2 linked regions of the Elephas maximus indicus genome follow. The protein of the gene in region 2 interacts with the protein of the main gene of each other region in a biochemical or structural test. Links are inferred from orthologs where the notes say so. Each region holds a gene or a part of one and is shown on either strand. Other genes may lie near its edges.

Region 1 (7,720 bases), on a different chromosome or scaffold from region 2:
GCCCAGGAAATCTTGGCAGCCAGGCAGTGGGGCAAGAACCTTAGGTTGCCGTGAGCACACACAGGCAACGGTACACTCCCACTCCAGGCTGTCCCTCAGCTCTGAGAGCCTCCAGCTGACCACCAGGCCGTTGCCTTGCGGGCTAGCTGGCCAGTGACAGGAGGTGGCTGGGAGGGGGCAGGGAGCGAATGTCCACAGCCGCTGTGCACCTGCCACCTCCACACCCTACTCCATGGCCAGGCATGTCAAAACGGCCTCCTGCCGCCTCTAACTAGGTCATGTGGCTGGTTTCTGTTGCTTAGAAAAGTCCTGCCCCCCACCTCAGGACTTGCACAAAGACTCATGCCCTGGGCCAGCTTCCAGAGCCCCCTCATACCCCCGGGCCCATCTAGGTCCTGGCAGCACGGCACCCCAACCCCAAGTAGCGTGGGGTAAACCCAAGAAGAGCCCCACACCCTCCGCAGCCTCCCCCACCCCCAGATGTGATGAATCAAGCCACATAGCCAGGCCCTCCCAGGGCGGGGGGGGCGGTGCCCAGAAGTAGAAGCAAAGCCATCTGTCCAGCCTTGACCTAGGAGCCAGGGCAGCGGCTGCAGGTCCATCCCAGGCAAACGCAAGCTGGGCCTTCTACTCAGACCTCCCAGAACCCCTGCCCCAGCCCAGCCACAGGTGCATAGCACGGGCCTGTCCAGGCTCAGCCCTGCCCCAACCCTTGAGCAGCCCTGAGGCAGCGTCCGTGTCAAGTGGGGGCCAGGAGGAGACTCACGGCTCTGACTCCACCGTCTCCTTCTCCGCCAAGTAGTTGTGGGGCACGTAGCCCTGGGCCAGGCCCCTGTCTGCTGAGTCCAGCCGAGTGGCCCACCACCATTCCTCCTCCTTCCGGGCCACGTGGAAGAGGTCTCCTGCCCGGAAGCTCAGCTCCTCAGCCGTGCGGGCCTCGAAGTCCCAGAGCCCCACGTACAGGCACAATGGGCCCCGGGACACCATGGTGGACACAGCGGCAGGTCGGGCTGCCTGGCCTGGCTGAAGTGCCGCTGTGCCTGTGGGCACCAGGGCAGGCGGGCAGGTGACGCTCCCTGACAGGTCATCCACCCAGCCACAGGCCCTCCCACTTCCTCCTGACTAGGCAGCCAGGCTGGCCACGCCCTGGCTCCCAGGGGGCCTCCCTGAGGCCACCTGAGCCCCCACCTGTCCTTGTGCCCGCAGGCAGCCAGGCCTGCACTACCCACCATCATCTCTCTGGGCATCTCTTCACAGGAAACATGCCCTTCAGAGTGGCCACTGAAGTGCCCTCAGCCACTCAGCTGGACCTGAGGGGGCCCATTGCAGACAGACCTGAGCCAGGGGCAGGGGTAAGGGGTGGCACTGCAGAGGGACCTGCTGCAGGTGGCTGCAGTTAGCAGCTGACACTCTGATGTGAGTGACAGCCTGAGGTGGAGGAAGAGAGGGGTGGAGAAAGTGGATAGGGGCCACAGGCACTTCCTCCCCCATCTCAGTGAGGAGACAAAGGCACGAGAGGCCAAGAGCAGCTGGTGCCACTCTCCCTAAAGGGTTCACCTCCACTCCCAGCTGCCTCTCTCACCATGGAGCGCTCCACACACTCTGAGGAGCTGGGGTGGGCTGTCGCTGCTCTGGTGGTCCCCCACCATGAGGCACTGCCTGGACTGCCCTTGGCTGCCTCTTCCCCTGTGCCTGTGACAAGCTGAGCCGAGGAAGCAGGTGAGGCTGTGGTAGGATAATAGGAAGAACCTGGAAGGGTGGAAGGGGCCCAAGAGAAGCAGAGGGGCAATGGGTGCAGGGTTGGCCTGAGCCTGGGCTCTCGTCTACGGGTAGGGGTGCCAGCACTGCACAGGTTCCCTGGAGGGCTGCCCCACCTGCTACCTGAGCACCTGCTTGCCTAGAGCAGGCTGGGCAGGCCGAAGCCAGGCAGCTGGCAGACAAGACATGCACGAAGTTGGTAGGGCAGACAGGTGTGGGCTGGCCCGGAACGCTTCCTTGAAGATGTGACTGGGAGACTCTGGGCCCCTGGAAAGCCGGAGCAGGAGAGCCGGCGCAGTGTGTGTCCTGGGAGCACAGGCTCTTGGCCAAAGAAGAGGGCACTACTCTCTTGGACAGGACATGAGGGGCAACCAAGACGGAGAACACACCCGAAAGGAGCCCCATCTTAGGGCCCAGCCTGCATGTGCCTACAGCTTCCACCTCCTGGGTGAGACCCCTCCCCGCCCATTCTTCCCACCTCCCTCTCTGCCCAGCCCAGCAGAATCAAGGTCTGGTCCTCCATGTCCTCTGTTCCCCCCCTCCCGCTCACCCCTACCCCCTCCACTCCCAAGCAAGCCCTGCTTCCTTTCGCCCAGCAGCTGGGGTGAAACCCCTCCACCTGGGTCTCTTTCTGCCCCACCCCCACCACAACACATGTCCTGCATGGGCCAAGACTCTCCCCAGAGCCCCCCACCTCCCTGTTAACCCTGCAACGTCCACCCCAGGGAGCTCCCACCCCTCCTGGGGACAGCCACAGGGGGGCAGGAAGTGCAGAAAAGGTGAGAAGGGCCGGAGCAGGTTTCCAAGTCTGTAAGTAAGGACCCAGAGACCACCCCACAGGAAACTGCTCATGTGAACCTTCACTTTTAAAGAAGGGGAAAAGAGGCACATGGCTGTCTTCATTCTGACATTCAGAGCTGGGACGTGTGTGTCTCAGCCAGACCAGGAAGCAAGCAAGTTTCAGGAGTCAAAAGTCCCAGCCCCTCCCCAAGGCCTATGAACACCAAACCTGTTCAGCTTGTAGAGGCTGACATGCTCAGGAACACGAGGTGACCCAGGTTCCGGCTTGGTGTCCCTCGCCTCCCAACTGTGCTGACTCACTCACGCTGCCTCCGGAAAGCAGGCTAAGACTCTCACAGTATCTGAGACTCTGGTCCATAGGAGTCCCATCCCCCACTGCTGCTGCCCCATGTTGGGGAAGCCCCCCAGAACCCACCCAGCGGACCTGCTGCTGGGCAAGGCAGAAGCAGAGGTGTGGCCTCAGAGGACAGCATCCTCAAGCCCCAAAGGCCAAGCCCTCTGGTCCCGCCCCCTGGCCTGGCCTCCTCTGGCCCCTCCCCCAGCCCCTGAGCCACAGCCAGGCTGCTGGGGTCCCCTCTACTGGTACTGCCTCTGCCTGCAGCCCCCCACCTCTCCCTGACTGCCCCCAGCTTGGGCTACCCTGATATCCTGCCTGTCCTCTCTGCTGCCGCCCTGGAGATGGAGAGGGCAGTTCCCACAGCCACATGAGCCTTTTGGAAGGCAGGGGTCATCTAAGACCCCTGACTCTCCCACAGCCTCCACCAGGTGTGCTGACGCCCCCAGGTGCCACTCTGCCTGGCACAGTTCTGCACCCACCATGCTGAACGCCATGATGCCCTGGGAGCAGCAAGGCCACGTGGGGCCGGCTCTCCCCCTCCGATGCTCACCCCACCCAAGAGAGCCACCATCAGTGACCCCAGCCCTAGGTTCAAGGGAGGCCAAGGGCTGCTGTGTGCGTCTACGCTTGTTTGAGTCGGACAATAAATATTTATTGGGTGTTGGCTCATGTGTGCACAGGTTCACACACAGCCAACTGTGACAGTGCTCTCTCCTGTGTGTGTACAGTGTGTGCCCAGTGAGGTTCACATCGAGGGCAAAGTAAGGGCCCCTGCATCCCAGGACTCCCTGCCCAGTGCCTCCCTGGGCCTGGGCAGACGCAGACTCCACCAGGCCCTTCTGGCTGAGTTCGTCTCCCTGAGACACCAGGGAAGCAGGTCATGCTGACGAAATGACACTCACCAGCTGTCCAGGTGTTTGCACGTGCGTGGGTGTCAGCTCATAAGGCCCACACCAGAGGCTCCATGGGCGTGCAGGCCAGTGGGGTTCCCAGCTGCGGACATCTCTGCACATGTTTCAACAAACATCCTGAGTGGCCACCGGAAGGGAGAGATGGGGCCCCAGTGGTGGTGCCCCGTGCCGGGTCATGTAAGGGCCTGGTGGGGGCGTCTGCAGCCAGTACCCAGCTTCTCCTGCAGCTCAGCAAAGGCTGGCCCCTCCTCGGGGTTGCCCTTTCAGCACTCCAACATGAGTGCATACACCTCCACAGGGCAGGTGGCTGGGCGAGGCAGCCAGTGCCCTCTGGAGATCTGCTGCAACGTCTCATGGTTGGTCATTCCTGGGGAGGGGACCAATGAGCAGGCCCAGGATCATAGTGGACATGTGGCTTGTAAGCCTCTTGATCACCAATCTGCCCCTGGCCAGGCCCTCTGACTGCCAGGGAGAGTCGTGCTTCCTCCCTTGAGTTGACTCCCCAGGCAGAGCCATGCCTCCTCCCTCAGATAAGCATCTGGGTCAAGGTGCACCTCCTCCCTCAGACTAGATCCCCCGAGGAAGTGCCTCCTCCTACAGATGAGTCCCCAGGGCAGGATGTGCCTCCTCTCTCTGACTGGATCCCCTGGCAGGGTGCACCTCCTCCCTGGACACCCTTGAACCTTTGTAGGGACATTGGCCATGGGTGAAGACCTCGAAGAGCAGAACACCAAAGGAAGAGACGTCTGACTTCTGGGAGTAGACATGGTAGTTGGCAGCCTCGGGTGCCGTCCACTTGACAGGGATCTTGGTGCCACTGCTTGGTGCGTAGATGTTCTGGGAAGAGAGGAGAGCACGGTGGGGTAGGTGGGGCAGGACTCCCCCACCCACTGGCCACCCTGAGCCCAAGGCTGCACTGACCTTGAGAAGCCAGGCCAGGCCAAAGTCAGCCACCTTGCAGGCAAGGTCATCGCCCACTAGCACATTCCCGGCTGCCAGGTCTCAGTGCACCATGTGCCGCTCCTCCAGGTAGCCCATGCCCTCGGCCACCTGGCAGGCAAAGCTCAGAAGGTGGGCCAGGCTCAGGGCCTGGCCCTCAGGACCTGCAGGGGGGAAGGGAGGCCTCACTTGGCTCTCTGTCTCCTGTCCTCACCTGGAAGTGTGGTGAAGGCAGCGACCACAAAGGCCTAGGTGGGCAAGTGAGACCTGGCATGGAGCACTGGGCCAGGGCTTGGTGTGCAGGGTCTTGGTATGCAGGGGTGCCTGGCACGTCCTAGCCCTCAGCCACCTGGCCTGGCCTTGGAGACTCCAAAAGACAAGAAAGCCCAGAATGGATAAGTTCCCTAGGCCACACTGCACAGAGGCCAGTGTCCAGATGGGCCTGTCCCCCCACCTCTCCATAAAGCTCAGCTCAGACCCCAGAACGTGACCTTCTGTTGGCCTGAGGCCAAGTAGGGCCAGGTATCTGCAGCCCGAATCACAGTCCTTTGGACCTCCCACCTAGAAGGGATCAGGTGCCATTGTCCACATGAGAGGCAGCTGTGGAACAAAGTGGGCTGGGGCCTGGAAGCAGGGCTGTGTGAGGAAGGGGGAAGTCCTGGCAGAGCTGGGGGCCTGGACAGTACCAGGGTCGAGGTGAGGGGGGAGGTAGGGCGGAAACAGGGAGCTGGACCTGGGCTCCTTGCTTTGCAGGGATGGGACGGAGCCTTGTTGCGGGAGTGGGGTTGGGGCAGAGCTGGAACCTGGGGCTGGTAGGCGGGCAGGGGCGAGGCCCGGGAGCTGGGGCCTGTAGCCTCAGGGTGGGGCAGAGGGGCAGGGCAGGCAGGACAGGGTCAGCGGTGAGAGGTGAGAGGGTGCGGGGAGTGGTCAGTGCAGGGCAGCAGAGCCACTCACTGCCCAGGTAGGCCTGCAGGTTGCCCTTGCATATGAGCTCGGTAACGATGTACACAGGCCGCCCCGTGGAGCACACCTCATGCAGCTGGATGACCCGCTCGTTCTTGAGGCTCTTGAGGGTCTGGATCTCCTTGGCGAGGTCCGTGAGCTTCATGTTGGCTGCGGGGACAGGCACCAATGAGGCTCGGTGGCCACAACCTGCCCCCCGCCCCTGCCTCAGGGGACTCAAGGGATAAGAGGGCCTCGCAAGCCCACCCACCTGATTTGATGACCTTGATCACCACTAGCACGGAGCCCAGCCACAGGTCTTCCCACACCATCCCTCAGTAGCCTTCACCCAGCTTCTTCCACAGGGCGAACTTGGCGCACGGCTGCTCCCACTCGTCCCACCCCGGGGGCTTCTGCAAGTTTGGAGGCTCAGTATCTCTGCCCGTGCTCTCCAGGAGAGGGGGTCCGGACTAAGAAGGGTCTCAGGGTGGGGGTGGGGGTAGGGGCTGCAGACAGGGCCCTGTCTTCCTGTTAAGTCCTGGGAGCCCCTCACCTCACGCCTCAAAGTGCTCCTGCCTCCAACTGGGATCAAGGGGACACAGGTTGCTGACCTCAGGAGGGCCTGACCCAGTGTCTCAGGGACGTAAGTGGCCCCTTTGCCCAAGCCGGACATCCGTCCACGAACACTCATTGCTGTGCTGGCTGGACTAGAGGAACCAGGACAGCATGCCTGGGTGATCCGGGAGATACTGAGGCTCCGGATCAGTGATCACCGTCTCCCTCCCACAGCTTCCTTCCGTGGCACAGACTCGGCTCTGCCCTCCCAGCACCCTCCTCCACCCCCCCAACTGGGCTTCACATCCCTCAGGGTCTTTCGGCAATGGAGATAAGAGGCTTGGGAGGGAGTGGCCCCCACTCTGGGAAGTATATTGAGGGAAACTGTGCCCAGGAATCTGCCTGCCCATTGAGCCCCCCCATCGATTATGGAGAGCAGTGGGAGGGGGGCAGTGGGGGCCTGGTTGCTGGGCAGGTGGGTACACCTGGGACACGCAGGGCTGCAGCAGTGGATTCTGGACTAGCTTCCAGTTGGTCTTGCAGTAGGCAAGCAGCTCCTCCATGCTGGGGAAGAGCCGGACCTTCTGTAGGTAGGGGCTGCCCTCGGCCACCGAGGAGATGCGGTAGTGGCAGACCCTGGCCTGGGCCTGGACTGGAGCTGTGAGAGATGGAGACCACGTCTTGGCTGTGTCCTGCCTGCCTCAGACCTCCACCACCTCTGACAGATGAGGTCCATTGCCCCCCCGAGGGACCTGGCTCAGATCCAGCCTTACAGCCCCAGCCACTTGGGCAGCTGCAGACCAGGGAGTGGTGAGAGGGGACCGGCAGTCCGGGGACAGCATGCACTGAGCTGGGCTCAGAGTGGGTGCACAAGAGACACTTGTTAAATGAACGTGTGAGTAGCGAATAGATGACTAAGTGAATGAATGGATAAGCAAACAACTGGATAATGAATGAGTGAGGGACTGAGTAAGTGAACTGACTAACAAGTGAATAAATGAACAAATGAATAAATAAAGGGATGAGTGAATGAAGGGGTAAGTGAAAGAATGAGTTAATACGTGAATAAATGACCAGGAGAATGAATTAATGAGTAAGTGAACCAGCAATCACGTGAAGTGACCAGCACGCCCCCAGTCCAGCCCTTGGTAGGCACATGTCTGCAGGTGAAGGGCTTTTCAGCTGGCTTGGGCTCAGGGCTCACCAGAGGGACGGGCCACCCGGAGTACCTGACAGGGAGTAATCCCCGCAGCTGCTCTCGCTGGGCTGGATGAGGAAGGTTCCAGGTGCTTTGGCAGGCGAAAGAAGCCGCTGCTGGGCCTCAGTCCTGCTGATCCTGCTGAAGTACCAGCTGCAAGTGGCAGGCACAGCAGTCATCGTGCTGGCTGGCCAAGTGGCTCGGTCCCCAGTGTCCCGCTCTGTGTCCTGTCTTCTCTAAGTGATGTCCTGCCCGGGTCCAACCCCCAGTGAGCACCCA
Region 2 (7,101 bases):
ACTGACAAAGGGGTTCATGAAAAGGCCTTCTCAACATGGCAATCCTCACCCACACTAGGGGAGAGTCTAGAATAGAGGTACGGGAGGCATGTCAGTCTCGGGGTTCCCTTTAACTTGTAAGTATGAAGGATATAGGGGCTCCAGGAAATGGTGGACCTTGAAACCTTGCTCCTGTCTCTTTCACCTGGCTCGGTGCAAGACTCTGTTGTGTGTGTGTTTGAGCGCATGTGCTCGTATGTAGATACCACCTGTTCCAACCACCCTTCCCTGAGGCAGTGTCAGCTTAGTGGGAGGCAGGAGTGGGAATGGAGGGAAAATGGTGAAGCCCCAGCCCCTCCTCTTAGATCTACCCAATTCTGACCTACTGACCTTGGAGGGGCTCCCCTTATCTATCACTCCTGGGGGGGGGGAGAGGTTAGGGGAGCAGTGGGGGGGGGGGGTAGATGTAGGCTCAGAAGAAGGGTAAACAGGCCAGGAACTCCCAAAGGAGCCTGGGTACTTCAGGGTCCTTGGGCTGAAAAGAGACTAGGAAGGTTAGTCATTTCAGCCCCACCCCAACCCCCTTCCTGGCAAGACACCCCCTCTTCCAAGTCAAGGCGCCAATCCTTGTCCCCAGATAAGGGAGGAGCCAAGATCTCTGCATACGGAAGTGGTGTGTGTATGTGTGCACGCACGCACATGTAGGCCCACACATACAAACATGTTTATAGCTCCCCTTCAATCTATATGAGTTCTGCCCTTGGGTTTTCTTATTGGGAAGTATTTCAGGTGTCCCATCCACCGCCAAGTGCGCATATGTGTGTGTGCAGACTCTGTGTCTATGCTTGGAAGGCTAGTTGTTAGAGTTCCATCTCCAGTTCCCTGCCACCCTGAGGGTAAAGTCCATATTACACAAACAGGGAGCAAAGGGCCTGGGCAGGGAGAGGGACGAACAACATCTCTGGGGAGAAGCCAGACAGCTTGAGGAGGGGGACAGGGAGAGAGGAATTTTACAAAAATCCCTAACTGTCCCACAGGGCCAGGGTGATAGGAAGGGTCAGTGTCACAAGCTCTCCTTTGGTAGAGTGAACTGGGTGTGGGGCAGAACAAGAACCTCAAGCCCCTCCTCAACCAAGGGCCTCCCCTCTAACATCCCCCACCCCCATCACAGCCATCATAGCTGGGACAAAGGGGCTATAGAACTGAGACAGGGCCGGATGCCCAGAGGCTGCAGAACCCAGATAAAGGGTAAAGAGACCCAACCATGCTTGCCTCCTGCCTCCCCCAGGGAAGGGGCCAGAATCTGGGACTCCTGGGTTACTGCTTGAAAATTCCAGGGGTCTGGATGGACCAGTGATAGTCACTTCGCTCCTCCCTCCCACTCCAATCCCCAGACCCCCCCCCCCCACCAGCTGGGAGTGTTCATATCTCAAGATCCCAGGGTCTAAATTTAGGCCCAGCAACTGTGGGGGAAGCACAGGTGTTTTCCCACTCCCACCCTGGGGAAGGGGCCCTGGCTGTGCCACACACTGCAAGCTGGTATCTGGGAACAGGAGAGGAGATCAACAGGACTCCTCCAGTTCTGGCACCCCTCAGGTGTCTGCGGTCCCAGAGACACCCCCAAAAAGAGATTAGGTGGCACTGGGGGGAAGGAATAGAGATGAGCAGTCTGGGACTCTTTTCTCCTGGAGTCAAATAAACGAAACTGGGTGAGGAGCTGGGCCTGGGAAGGGCTCTCCAGGGCAGAAGCCTCAGAAGGTGGAAGTAGGGCATTCTTGGCCTCAAGTTGGGGAGAGAAAAGACAAACGGAGAAATAGAGGCTGGAAGCCCTTGTCCCTACAAAGTTCCTGGCCTAGGGTCTAGTATATGGTAGATGCTCGATAAATACTAGTTGAATTGAACTGGGTCTTGCCAAAAAGAAGTTGGCCTCGTAGGGGACCAGCCAGCTTTATTATTTGGAGGGAAAGCGGGCAGCCAGGGTGGGCTGGGCCTCTCACCCTGCTGTCACCTGGACTTGGCCCTCTGGTTAATCTCAGACCTCCCCGGGGCAGGCCACTCACGGAAGAGGAGGTGCAGCTCCTGTTTTCCAACACCAGAGAACAACAACCACCATCACCTCCCCTCCCCACCCCCAATCCTCCCGTAGCTCCGCCCTGTCGGCAAAACAACGAAACTGGAGGTTGCTGAAACTGGGGGGTAGAGACTCCCCCTCCCCCCCGAAGATCTCTACCTCCAATCATCTCCTTACTCTTACGGAATGGAGGTTCCGGCTCCTCTCCCTGAGGGTCCCTCAGAAGTGTGAACTACTGTTTCGCCGTCAGTACCATCAGGGGAACGAATTAGAGGGTCGTTGGCGCGCTAGGGAGAAGGGGGCCCAGGAAGCCGGTCCCTGACCGGACCACGCCGAGAACCCAAGCCACCAAACCTGACCGTCCCCTCCCAGGTGATACCCGCGGAGTCGGGGTCAGAAGCCTCAGCCTCGCACTGTGCGAGACTCGGCGCCTCACACCCTCAGTGGCTCCGCGCACGGTTCGGATCCCGGTTCCGAGTTGGCCAGTGCTTCCCCGCCGCTTACCTGCCTGCGAGCTGCCCACCTCGGAGCCCCGGGCCAGGCTGAGAAGGAAGCCCAGCACCTGCAGAGCCCCGTTCGCCCTCATGACTCCAGCGGAGGGTGAGGGGAGCCCAGCCAAGTCCGGCCCGGGGGCCCCTGGACTAGGACATCGAGGCAGGAGCCACCTGACCCGCCAGCGAAGTGATAGTGGCGGCGGCGGCAGCAAATTACCACCCGAGCCGGAGCCGGAGTCCTGGCGGGTGGCAGAGGAGGGGTGTGTGTCTGTGAGAGGAGGGAGGGAGGGCGCGCAGGGGAGGGGGTGAGTCACGGCCGCGCCCCCTTTCGAGCCGGGCTGGAGGAGTTTGCTGGAGTCTCCGACTGATTGCCCGCCCCGAGCGCGCCCCACACCTCGGCAACTCCGGGACTCCCTCTTCTTCGCCAAGCAGACGAAGAAGGGGTCTCACTCTAACTTTCCTTCCGGAGCTGGGCTACGAAGGCGGAGGTCAAGATTCCAGAAGCCCCCCAAATCCCCGGAAAGGTAATGGGGGCGGGGAGAGAGCGCCAAAGCCCGGCCCCCTGAAAGCTGGCCTCGCCCACTAACCAAATCACTCATCTCCCCTAGCCGGTTGGATCACTTGAGGATTTTCTCTCTGGAGTGAATATTTCTCTCTGTGTGTTTTTGAGGGGGAGGGTGTTGTTTGCTTCACGCTTAGGCCACCTCAGTTTCCCCCGGCTCAAAACCCCACAACTCATCCCCCCTGCCCAGGAACCCGAGCCCAGAGGCCGCGTGAAATTGCACTGTCTCCGGCCGCTTCCTTCTCCAGACCCGGCGCCGGCTCGGCCTCTCCCGGGGATTTGGTTGGGGGGCGGGGGTGGTTTCCAGCCTGGGAACAGACCCCAGAGCCCGCTTTCCAGTTCCACCCTGGGAGGGGCTCCCGCACCTGTCGCCGTCCCCTCTGCTGCCCCCCACGGCCGCCTGGGAGAACAGCTGGCGCCCCTTCCACACTGGAGTCTGTGACCTCGCCGACGGGGCGGCCGTAGCTCTCGCCGGTCGGCTGGGGACCCATATGGGCACACCTCGCCACAGGCGCTCACACCCTCCGGCGCCTCCCAAGCCCGGGCTCGCACTGGAAAGAAGGAAGGGGCAATAGAGACTGCGTCCGTGAATGGCATGGATCCCTGGCACCTCTCGCACCAACTCCCGGATCCAGACCAGAGGCGGTCGGGTGCACCGAGGGTGGCTGCCCAAGGCTGGGCCAGGCCCCTCGACGCACCCAACTGGCGCCCCCTGGTGCCCACCAGCCCCACACGGCGTAGATTTCAGTCCCAGAGATTGGCATTCCGGGTCTTAAACGGAGAGTCGATTTTATTTTCCCCAAAGCTTCAGGCTTGAATAATCAAGAACAATTGTATCTTGATGAAGAAAAATGTCGCCCCTCACCCCAGGCCAAGACAACGGGCTAAAACTTCTCAGACTTTCTCTGTCCACTTCTAGGGCGCTGGCCTCGCCCAGACCACTCACGTGACGGTGGTACTGTAATTGCGACAGCACAAGCCTTTGACATATACAAACATATACCACTTAATTTGTAAAACATTTCCTCAAACTCAGTACCTTAATGAATGTTTCACTTAACAGAAAAACTATACAAACTAGGTGACATTTGTTCCCTTTTTTCACAGAATGGAAAACGGAAGTTCTAGAAACTCGTGATTTATCTAGAAGAATCAGGACGAGGGACTCAGGTTTTTGACTAGGATTTCTTATGCAATACTGAGATTCAAACTCCCATCAGATAACTGAGCTAACATCACTTAGGAATTTCCATCCCTACTTACTCTCCCCCAGATTAGAGGACCTTCTATCGCTCACCACCTCAACCTAGGTTTCAGGGCCCTGGCTGGAAATTCTTCTCATTTTTGGAATATTTCGGACACTCTTAGTTGAAATGTTACCCTAATTTGCAAATCATATATTCAGTAAATTTCAATCAGTTCCTATTGTTGGCTTAATAATATGATTTTTGTTTTAACACACTTCAGACTGGTCTTTCTCGCTCTTTCTCTCTCTCTCTCTCTCTTACCCTAGTGTCCTGGGATTAGGTCAGACACGCTGGAAGGACTCTATGCTTCTTCATGGTCTGTCGGACTCAGCCGCTCAGAGCCCGGCCTACACAAATCAGCTCTGTACTGCAGCCCCTGCTGGCTCATGGCCCCTGTGGGTTCTGTAATTCTCTATAAAGGCTCACAAAATCCACAGAGACTATGACTTGTACTTACATATACTTTATCATAACCTGAAGGAATGCAAACATAGAGACACATTAGGCAGGGTCTGAGAGAGGTCCCAGCATGAGGCTTCCATTGTCCCCAAGGACATGCAGCACCCTCTCCCCTGCGTGGATGTTCTCACCAATTCTGGAATCCCCAAAGAGAGTTCCAAGGTTTAGAGTCCCCTAGTCACTTTTTTTTTTTTTTTTTTAGTCACTGGGACCTCAATGAATGTGCATGTATCAAATTGGAATATGCATTATTGAGGCCTCAGTGCATCATTTTTATCAGTTCAGTCAATGAGTGCGTCACGCCCCTCTCTTCCTCAGGTCTCTTGCCAGGTTGGGGCCTGGGTAGTCCCCTACTTTACACTTGTTTAAATGTGGCTGGGCTGTTTTAGAAAGACAAAGAGTACCTTAATTGCTCAGGCTATTTTTGAAAACCAGAAACAAAAGGCCAAACAGAGTTCCTTGTCCTACATTCTACTGAACAATTGGGCTGGACTCTTTAAACGTGCCAATGTCATAAAAAAAAAAAGTCAAGAGAATCATTTCACGTCAAAGAAGATCAAAAACACAGAACCAAATGCAATGAATGATCCCTGATTGATCCTAGATTTAAAAATAACAACAATAAACCCAGCTAATTGCATATGGACTGTCAGGCAATATTATTGCCTCAGTGTAGGAGGCTTGTCAGAATTGACCATGTCTTTTACTTTTCCAGTGAAGCTCAAGTGCACATGTTCCTCCACCATGTAAAGACCCAAGGGTGATAAAACGGGAGGAGAGTTGGAAGAGAGGTCTAGATGGAGCAAAAATGGGAATTCTTATTGAGGTAAGGATGCAATCTGAATGGGGAGGGTAGAAATGGTGAGTGATTTACATACTTTTCACAGTGGGGAGCTGAGTAGCACTGACCCACTGGAATAAAAATAGGCTCCTCATATAACACATAAACTAGGCCCACCTACTCACTCGCTCACACCGAACTGCTGAGCCTGGGATCACTGGGCTTGAGTAATGACTTACGATTGGGTCTCTGGTGAGACTCCCTGAAGGAGGGTCCGCTGAAGTCAGTCTGTAGAGGGGGCCACCTAGTCTGAAATGCTGTAGTCAGCAAATCAGTTCAGGAAGTGATGAGGTCTTCCCCCCATATCAGGCCATGATCTCCTTAGCCAGTCAATTCCTGGATAGACTTTTAGATGTATGACTGATGGGTTTCTTTCTCCAGCTGACTTCTAGAAACCTTCGGATCCCACCATGCAATGCATAGTTCCCTGGAAAGGCCCCCTATCAGGGCGCTGTTGTTGTGTGCCATTGAGTGGATTTTGACTGATAGCAACCCTATATGATGGAGTAGAACTGCCCTATAGGGTTTCCTAGGCTGAAATCTACCAGAGCAGATGGCCAGGTCTTTTTTCCCATGGAGACACCTGTGGGTTCGAATCACTGACCTTTTGGTTAGCAGCTGAGTGCTTAACCACTTCGCCACCAGGGCTCCTTGACAGGGTGCTGTTGTTGTTAACGTGCTGTCGAGTCGGTTCTGACTCATAGCGAGCGACCCTATGCACAACAGAACTAAACACTGCCCGGTCCTGAGCCATCCTCACACTCGTTGTTATGCTTGAGCTCATTGTTGCAGCCACTGTGTCAATCCACCTCGCTGAGGTTCTCCCCCTTTTCCGCTGACCCTGTACTCGCCAAGCATGATGTCCTTCTCTGAGACTGATCCCTCCTGACAACATGTCCAAAGTATGTAAGACGCAGACTCGCCATTGTTGCTTCTAAGGAGCATTCTGGTTGTACTTCTTCCAAGACAGATTTGTTCCTTCTTTTGGAAGTCCATGGTATAGTCAATATTCTTCACCAACACCACAATTCAAAGGCCTCAATTCTTCTTCAGTCTTCCTTATTCATTGTCCAGCTTTCACATGCATATGAGGCGATTGAAAGCAACATGGCTTGGATCAGGTGCACTTTAGTCCTCAAGGTGATATCTTTGCTTTTCAATGCTTTAAAGAGGTCTTTTGCAGCAGGTTTGCCCAATGCAATGCACCTTTTGATTTCTTGACTGTCGCTTCATGGGTGTTGATTGTGGATACAAGTAAAATGAAATTCTTGACAACTTCAGTCTTTCTTCCGTTTATCATGATGTTGCTTATTGGTCCAGTTGTGAGGATTTTTGTTTTCTTTATTTAAGGTGTAATCCATACTGAAGGCTATGATCTTTGATCTTCATCAATAAGTGCTTCAAGTCCTCTTTACTTTCAGCAAGCAAAACTGAATCATCTACATAAC

The links. The genes of interacting proteins can lie anywhere in the genome.
Region 1: the proteins of ERBB3 (region 2) and PTK6 form a complex in vitro, tested with the Homo sapiens proteins (2 studies listed by BioGRID and IntAct, with this or other methods). The link is inferred for Elephas maximus indicus from reciprocal best matches to the Homo sapiens genes ERBB3 and PTK6.

What each region holds. Positions count from the first base shown.
Region 1 is NC_064843.1:4,495,486-4,503,205, reverse strand, and holds the start of PTK6 (protein-tyrosine kinase 6), read right to left. Parts: upstream 3,013-7,720; 5' UTR 2,768-3,012; intron 2,193-2,767; exon of another isoform or gene 1,750-2,192; 5' UTR 988-1,749; coding exon 767-987; intron 1-766. UniProt on the Homo sapiens protein: Non-receptor tyrosine-protein kinase implicated in the regulation of a variety of signaling pathways that control the differentiation and maintenance of normal epithelia, as well as tumor growth.
Region 2 is NC_064822.1:116,043,656-116,050,756, reverse strand, and holds the start of ERBB3 (receptor tyrosine-protein kinase erbB-3), read right to left. Parts: upstream 3,001-7,101; 5' UTR 2,637-3,000; coding exon 2,555-2,636; intron 1-2,554. UniProt on the Homo sapiens protein: Tyrosine-protein kinase that plays an essential role as cell surface receptor for neuregulins.